Callithrix jacchus: one gene and its partner. The main gene of each other region encodes a partner of the protein of the gene in region 2 in a complex. Links are inferred from orthologs where the notes say so. Each region holds a gene or a part of one and is shown on either strand. Other genes may lie near its edges.

The links. Proteins that work in one complex are often made in the same cells at the same time.
Region 1: IGF2BP1 (region 2) and DHX9 share a complex: the UniProt entries of both Homo sapiens proteins name them as parts of the coding region determinant (CRD)-mediated complex. The link is inferred for Callithrix jacchus from reciprocal best matches to the Homo sapiens genes IGF2BP1 and DHX9.

What each region holds. Positions count from the first base shown.
Region 1 is NC_133519.1:41,043,919-41,047,569, forward strand, and holds part of DHX9 (ATP-dependent RNA helicase A), read left to right. Parts: intron 1-363; exon of another isoform or gene 364-505; intron 506-1,326; coding exon 1,327-1,373; intron 1,374-2,715; coding exon 2,716-2,852; intron 2,853-3,164; coding exon 3,165-3,254; intron 3,255-3,344; coding exon 3,345-3,506; intron 3,507-3,651. UniProt on the Homo sapiens protein: Multifunctional ATP-dependent nucleic acid helicase that unwinds DNA and RNA in a 3' to 5' direction and that plays important roles in many processes, such as DNA replication, transcriptional activation, post-transcriptional RNA regulation, mRNA translation and RNA-mediated gene silencing.
Region 2 is NC_133506.1:117,249,965-117,253,615, reverse strand, and holds part of IGF2BP1 (insulin-like growth factor 2 mRNA-binding protein 1), read left to right. Parts: intron 1-659; coding exon 660-795; intron 796-1,872; coding exon 1,873-1,995; intron 1,996-2,339; coding exon 2,340-2,459; intron 2,460-3,362; coding exon 3,363-3,437; intron 3,438-3,651. UniProt on the Homo sapiens protein: RNA-binding factor that recruits target transcripts to cytoplasmic protein-RNA complexes (mRNPs). This transcript 'caging' into mRNPs allows mRNA transport and transient storage.

The sequences.
Region 1 (3,651 bases), on a different chromosome or scaffold from region 2:
ATTTGTTGATTGTTTTCTTTCATATTTTGTCTTTCTGAACGGTTTGGGCTTGGTAGCACTTGGTGACTTTAAGAACAGTAAGATACCTAAGTGTGCCCTAAAGCTCATCGTTGCAGACATTTTTTGTTATCAGTATCTTAAAGATTTCTGATACAAAGCAATGAAGAATTCAGGAAAAGACAATGAGAGGCACAGACAATTGGGGGAGCCAGGACAGCATTCCTGTATGGCCTTTTATTTAAAGGCATAACAGACAGCAACACCAGAGGTCTGTGTTCATAATACACATGTGCTGCTGCTTAGGCTGAACTAAGCAATCACATGGGAAACTATTGTAAACTGATTTCTGGTGTCGCTGTTCCCCCTAGGTGGAGGAGAATGAGATTGAGTGCTGACTTTAAGCCTGGCTGAGAAACATACTGGCATCGATGTCATTAATGAAAGGGTGGATGTTGTTCCCCTGAAAGCCAGTGGCCTTTGACCCCTGAAGCCGCTGTGCCTGAAGGTCAGTTCACAAGAGGTATAGGAAGGAGTCTAACATTTATTTTTTCTTAAGCCTCACCCAGCCTTTTATTCACAGCACAAAGTCTAGGTTTAGAATGTATCTGAGCAGTGAAAGGACCAGAATGCATAGAATTTCAAAGGGCAGTTTTTCCCTTGTGAAAATCTAAATTCATTTTCTAGACTCCACAAGCAGTTTGAGATATAATGTGACAGCATGTGTTTTGTTCTCCAGGACCTGATTTAAATAAATGTCATATAAATAGGCTAAATTTTTGTCATCCAGGGCCGCTTCCAACTGCAGGCAGATGTGAGAGCTCTGCCTTAGGAGCCATTGATGTGCACAAAATGAATGTGCATGTGTGAGTTTGCGTATATTAGCTTAATCCTAACAGATTGCAGTTCATAATGGGTGGCCTATGCAGAAGAATCTTAAAATAATTCTAACAGTAGTGTAAAGCATTTTGGGCCTACTTTATTTCTTGGCTCCAAGCTAAGTGGAAAATTCCTTTTCATTGAATGTGTTCTTGCTGTTCAGACTCCAGCCTTTGGAATAAGAGTAAGTAAATATAAAATCTAAAACCCTAACGTTTTCCTTTCATGAACAATTGGCTCATCGACTTTGATTATAGTTGTCTTATGCCGTGTTGTATATTTGAAGTTTATATACTTCATTTGTTCTAGGGTTGGGCAGAAATAAATGTTGGTAATTTTTTTTCTCTGTGATTTGCCTAAGCAGTTGGAAAGCCTGCCTGACTTGGGAGACCTGGATTTGCCAATTTCTAACAGTGAAATTTCTAACCTTGCTTGTATGTGTTGTTACAGGAGCTTTATTGCAGAAATGACCATTTATATCAAGCAGCTGGGCAGAAGTAAGTCACTGTTTCCCCGATATTCCAAGACTTTGTATAGAGAAGCTGTATTATTGAAAGAGCACATAATGTAAGATAGCATCTAGGGTATATTTTAGAATATTAGTAATTATAGACGTTAGAGAAAGTCTTCTAGTTTACGTATGAAGCAGACCATGTTAGTGTAATGTTTGAAAGGTAAGATAAAGCAGGATGATTAGGAGTCTGCCATTGTCAAAGAATTTTAAAACTTTTTTATATGTAAAATAAGTTATTTTGAGTGGATGGGAAATATTAAGGGATAAAGGCAGGCTAACTTCTGTCATATATTAATAGAATAAAAAGGAACTAGAAGCTGTGGCATACACTATATTTTAAGACTTTTGTACCTAAGCCCATGGTTCCTGGTGATAAGACTTACTTGATTAGGGGTTCCTGGTTTCTCACTTACTTGATTGGGGTTAATTTGGCTAGTTAGGCAGAAAGATACCTTTGTACCCCTTTGCATTATATTCATTTCTCCTAAAACTGAATGATACTGGGGAAGAAGAAACTTTCTATTAGTATTTTCTTCAAGGATACGAGTAGCTGTTAGCTTCTGTTTAATGCTGAGGTCAGCAAACTATAGCCGTCTGGCCAAATCCAATGTACTGCCTGTTTTTATAAGTGTTCTATTTGAACATAGCTACACTCATAACTAAACTTATTCCTTTGTCAGAGGACAGCAAACTCTTTCTATAAAGCACTAGGTGATAATATTCTAGACTTCACAGGTCATACATTTTAATTTTTATTTTATTTTTACAACTCTTGAAAAACATAAAACCATTCCCAGGCCTATGGTTTGTCAAACTATTGTCTGTGGCCGCTTTCATGCATTAGAGGCAGAGTTGAGTAGTTGTGACAGAGACTATGGCCTGCAAATCCTAAGATATTTATTAACCCTTTATGGAAAAAGTTTTCCAAATCCTGGTCTAGGTAACCACTCTGGACCTGATTACATTTATTGGTTTATTTTTTTACTCTTTGACTTCTTAAAAGTCAGACTATGTTTTCTTACCATATTTTAATGCCTGATGATAATAACACTGACAACCTTTAAAATAGGTTTTTGCTTTCATAATACTGAATTGTATGAGTCCTAGTATCAGCCTGTAGTCAAAACAGTGGGTTATTTAGTTGATAAACTGTTTGGCAATTTCTTTTGTTTATCATATATTAATAGAATAAAAAGGAACTAAAAGCCGTGGCATACACTATATTTTAAGACTTTTGTACCTAAGCCCATGGTTCCTGGTGATAAGATGTTTTTTTACTTAAGTGATTGATCCTTCTGTCTGATAAACCCGATCTTACATTATAGGAATTTTTGCACGAGAACATGGATCAAATAAGAAATTGGCAGCACAGTCCTGTGCCCTGTCACTTGTCAGACAACTCTACCATCTTGGAGTGGTTGAAGCTTACTCTGGACTTACAAAGAAGAAGGAAGGAGAGACAGTGAGTTTTTAGATTTATAATAGACTCGTGAGATATTTTAAGATTCAATTTAGCTCTTGTTTAGTATTTGGCTAAAGAAGTCTTAATTTCAAGGAATCTTACCTCAAGAAATGAAATGGCCTTGCTAATCATCTGTGTCTGGCATGATATCCGTAATAGGAAATGAGTAAATCATAATCATTGAAGTAATTCTCTCACTAAAGGGAACTGACTGTTGGCTTAGGAATACTGTAGAATTAGTTTTGACTGTATAGTCTTAGCGCTACTAAAGTAGATTTGAGTAGTATTTATATGTGTGATCCTTTTTTGTAGGTGGAGCCTTACAAAGTAAACATCTCTCAAGATTTAGAGCATCAGCTGCAAAACATTATTCAAGAGCTAAATCTTGAGATTCTGCCCCCGGTAAGCATACAGCTATTTAGTTTACATGTATTTAGAACTCTCAGTAGACAGGCAAATCATTTTGTTGTTGTTTTTCTTATTTTTTAATAGCCTGAAGATCCTTCTGTGCCAGTGGCACTCAACATTGGCAAATTGGCTCAGTTTGAACCATCTCAACGACAAAACCAAGTGGGTGTGGTTCCTTGGTCACCTCCACAATCCAACTGGAATCCTTGGACCAGTAGCAACATTGATGAGGGGCCTCTGGCTTTTGTGAGTGCAGTATTATTTTTGAGATCAGACTCTCGTGTTTCACTCTTGAGTATGTTTGATTAGTATGTCTAGGTACAAAATGGATTTATTTTGAAGCTGAATTATGTGGTTTTGTTTATAACCATGTGGGCTTTTTGTTTTACAG
Region 2 (3,651 bases):
GCCTCTGGAAGAAAAATAGTCGAAATGGTAAAAAGTATTTAAAAAAATCTCTATAAGGACTGGATTTGCCCATTTCCACTGTCATATGAGGTGGGGGTGTTGTAGGGTGCTGCCTCTGTAGTCCATGTCCAATCACATCACAGCCCTGTTTCTCTGTGGCTTGAGGACAGCCTGCAACTAGGAGCTAGGGACTCAGGGCTTTAGGGCTGTCACTATGAGAAGTGACTCTGGCCCTTTTCTGTCTGTGGTGGGCTGCTGCTGCAAGCAGTGTGCCTGTTTATTTCATCAGAGACTAGCCTGTGGGCAAAGTAGTTGCTCTTGTCCAAAAAGGTACAGAACATGGATTGTGTAGAATCAGTGGAGAAACTTGGCGGCACAATTCTCTTTCCTGTTTGACCAGCAACCATAATCTGTCTGCGATTGGATCCATTTGCTAACAGAGGGGTTTGAGCTGGGTGTTGTCATCTCCCTCCATCTTACCCCCTGCCCTGGTTACAAACTGGGGACACCAAATACTGGAGATGCAGAATCGTTTGCCGGAAGTTGACTAGCCTGCAGAAATGGTAGGCCTGTGACTCAGCTGGCCTCTTGTCTTTGTTCCTTCCGGGGCCTGGTCCTGGCCTGCCAGTGAAAGGACACGGCTCTGCTCTTCCTGCCAGGTTGCAGGACCTTACCCTCTACAACCCTGAGAGGACCATCACTGTGAAGGGGGCCATTGAGAATTGTTGCAGGGCTGAGCAGGAAATAATGAAGAAAGTTCGAGAGGCCTACGAGAATGATGTGGCTGCCATGAGCGTGAGTGCTGGGCTAGAATCCTCTGGTTATCCTTTCCTGAGTCTTAGCAGTAGCAGCTGGTGGGGTACGGGGTGATGGATATGTGCCCTGTGCCATGTGGCCTTGAAGCTTTAGTTGATGCTTTTGGACCTTGGCAGTGAGAAATAGGTTTTTAAATTGTATTTAATTAGCAAGGATTCTTCACCTGGTTCCTAGGATAGGGGTCCAATCTTGGGCTTTGAGTCCAAGTATGTGGTTCCAAGTATGTGTACAATTTGTGTTTGTGTGCACTTTAGTGAAGTGGGGAGGTTCATCATTTTCATCTGATTTTTATATCTTTTTTTTTCTTTATTTTATTTTATTGAGACAGGGTCTTGCTCTGTTGCCCAGTTGGAGCACAATGGCACGATCATAGCTTACTGCAGCCTTGACCTTCTGGGCTCAAGGGATACTCCTGCCTCAGCCTCCCAAGTACCTAGGAGACTACAGGTGTGCACCACCATGCCCAGCTAATTTTTTAAAATTTTACTTTTTTGAGACAGGGTCTTGCTGTGTCACCCAGGTTGGTCTTGAACTCCTGGGCTCAAATGATTCTCCTGCCTTGGCCTCCCAAAGTACTAGGATTATAAGCATGAGCCAATTCATGCAGCTTATCTCATTTTTTAAAGGAGACTTGGGTTGGGGTACAGACCAAAAATTTTTAGAACCAGAGTCCTAGAAGTCAAATGGAACTCTGTTTCTGTACCTTCTTTTCTTATATAGGGGCATTATAATAGAGTGTCATGAGTCTATTATCTGTCTCCAGCAGTCTGAACAGCCAGAGAGAAAGGACTTCTGAGGTTGTGTAACTTTGGCATTTCTGGTTGCTGTTGCTAGCCCTTAGTCCAATGAGAACATCCTATCACTTAAAATTTCACACCCGAAGTGTGTAGGTGAGAGTGTATGAAAAGCACAAAGTACGCTTTTGTGTAAAAGCATGTAATTAATGTTTTTGGCTCTGGGGCTCCTTGCCCTTCTGGTTCAGCCAGGGCCACACACAAGGGACTACCAGGCCCTGTCAGGGTGTGCTGACTCCTCCTCCTCACCTTTCTTCCACAGCTTCAGTCTCACCTAATCCCTGGCCTGAACCTGGCTGCTGTAGGTCTTTTCCCAGCCTCGTCCAGCGCAGTCCCGCCACCTCCCAGCAGCGTTACTGGGGCTGCTCCCTATAGCTCCTTTATGGTAGGTGGAAGCTCTTATTACATGGGACCCCTGGGCCCATATGTAGCCTCCTTTAACGGGGGGCCAAGCACCCTATGGGAGTTGGCTGCCTGGCCATTTTGCAGGCAGAGGGAAGGAAGGGCTTGGGGTGTCCCTCCTCTCTATTGCTCCTAGCCACTGGCTCTAAGGTTCCCAAGTGTCTGCCTAGAATGCTGTCGGGGCACAGGCAGCACTGTTTCCTCACTCTTTCCTGGCCTTTTCCCTTTACTCCTTCCTCGTTGAGTGAGGATGCAAGGCAGGGGAATGGAGGGTTTCTGGGCCCTGCTCCTTGGTCCCCCAGGTAATAACATTCTGTGTCCTGGCAGCAGGCTCCCGAGCAGGAGATGGTGCAGGTGTTTATTCCCGCCCAGGCAGTGGGCGCCATCATCGGCAAGAAGGGGCAGCACATCAAACAGCTTTCCCGGTTTGCCAGCGCCTCCATCAAGGTGATCTGCTCTGTGGGTCTTCCTGTTTCTGGAAAGGGAGGGGGCTCTGCTTCTATCACTCTATACTTTCTCCCAGATTCCCCATACTCATTTGAGAATTCTGTGTCTCATGTGAGGGGGCTTTCCCCCATAGAATTGCAGTCCTCTTTCTTTTTAACCTTGCTTGATCCCCATGGAATGGCTTCAGTGCTTCTGGGTTTTCAGGCTGGGCAGGGCAGGGTTGTAACATAGAAAGAGAACTTAGGTTCTAACACAAATAGAATTGGGTTCAAATCCCAGACCCACTTTATCACCCCTTCCCCCATACGCTATGTGATCTGAGTCTCACTTTCCTCATCAGTACAATGTAATGAGGCTATGCAGCCAAAACCTTTGGCTCACATAGTAACACCAAGTGTTGATTATTTGTCACCTTCCCTAGCCAGTGTCTAGGGGAGAGAGAAGGGAGATCTGTCATCGTGAAACAAAGGTACTGTTAATTTTCACAAACTAAACCCAGTTGCTTCAGTTGTCTTAAAGGCGTTGGGCAGAAAACTTGATTGCTCCCCAGTGGAGGTGCAGTTATTGTCCTCTATCTGTTGGTCATTTTATTTATGTCCTTACCTGTTGGCAAGACTCCACTGAAACCTCTTGGGAGATCAGGAGATTGGTAGGTGGAGGGGGCAGGAGGTCCTACTTAGAAAATGTCATTGAAGCCAGTCCTTCTAACTGATCACCTCTGCCCTCCTAATAATTCTGGTGTGCAGGGGTGATGATGTGGGCTTCAGGGTCTTTGTTCTTCCTTTCCTAAGTCTTCAGAATGGGTAGTTCGAGTAAGGGTGGTAAAGGGGAACTGGATGAAGTAGGTATGGTGGGGGTCTTCCCATGGCGGGTCCATCATTGATTAGCTTTTTTGCTCTTTAGATTGCACCACCTGAAACACCTGACTCCAAAGTTCGTATGGTTATCATCACTGGACCGCCGGAGGCCCAATTCAAGGTTTTGGTCTTTATTGTTTTCCAAGCTGAACATGGAGGAATTGAGGTTGGGTATTTCCTCTGTGGTAGGAAAAAGGCTGGGGCAGTTTGCCATTAGCCATCAAGTCCTCATCATATATTTAAGCCTTCCCTGCAGGATAAAGGGCTGCAGAGCTATTTTCAAATTGACGTCAAACTCAATTTCTGTTGACTTCCACTTCCCTTTTTAAAGTCAA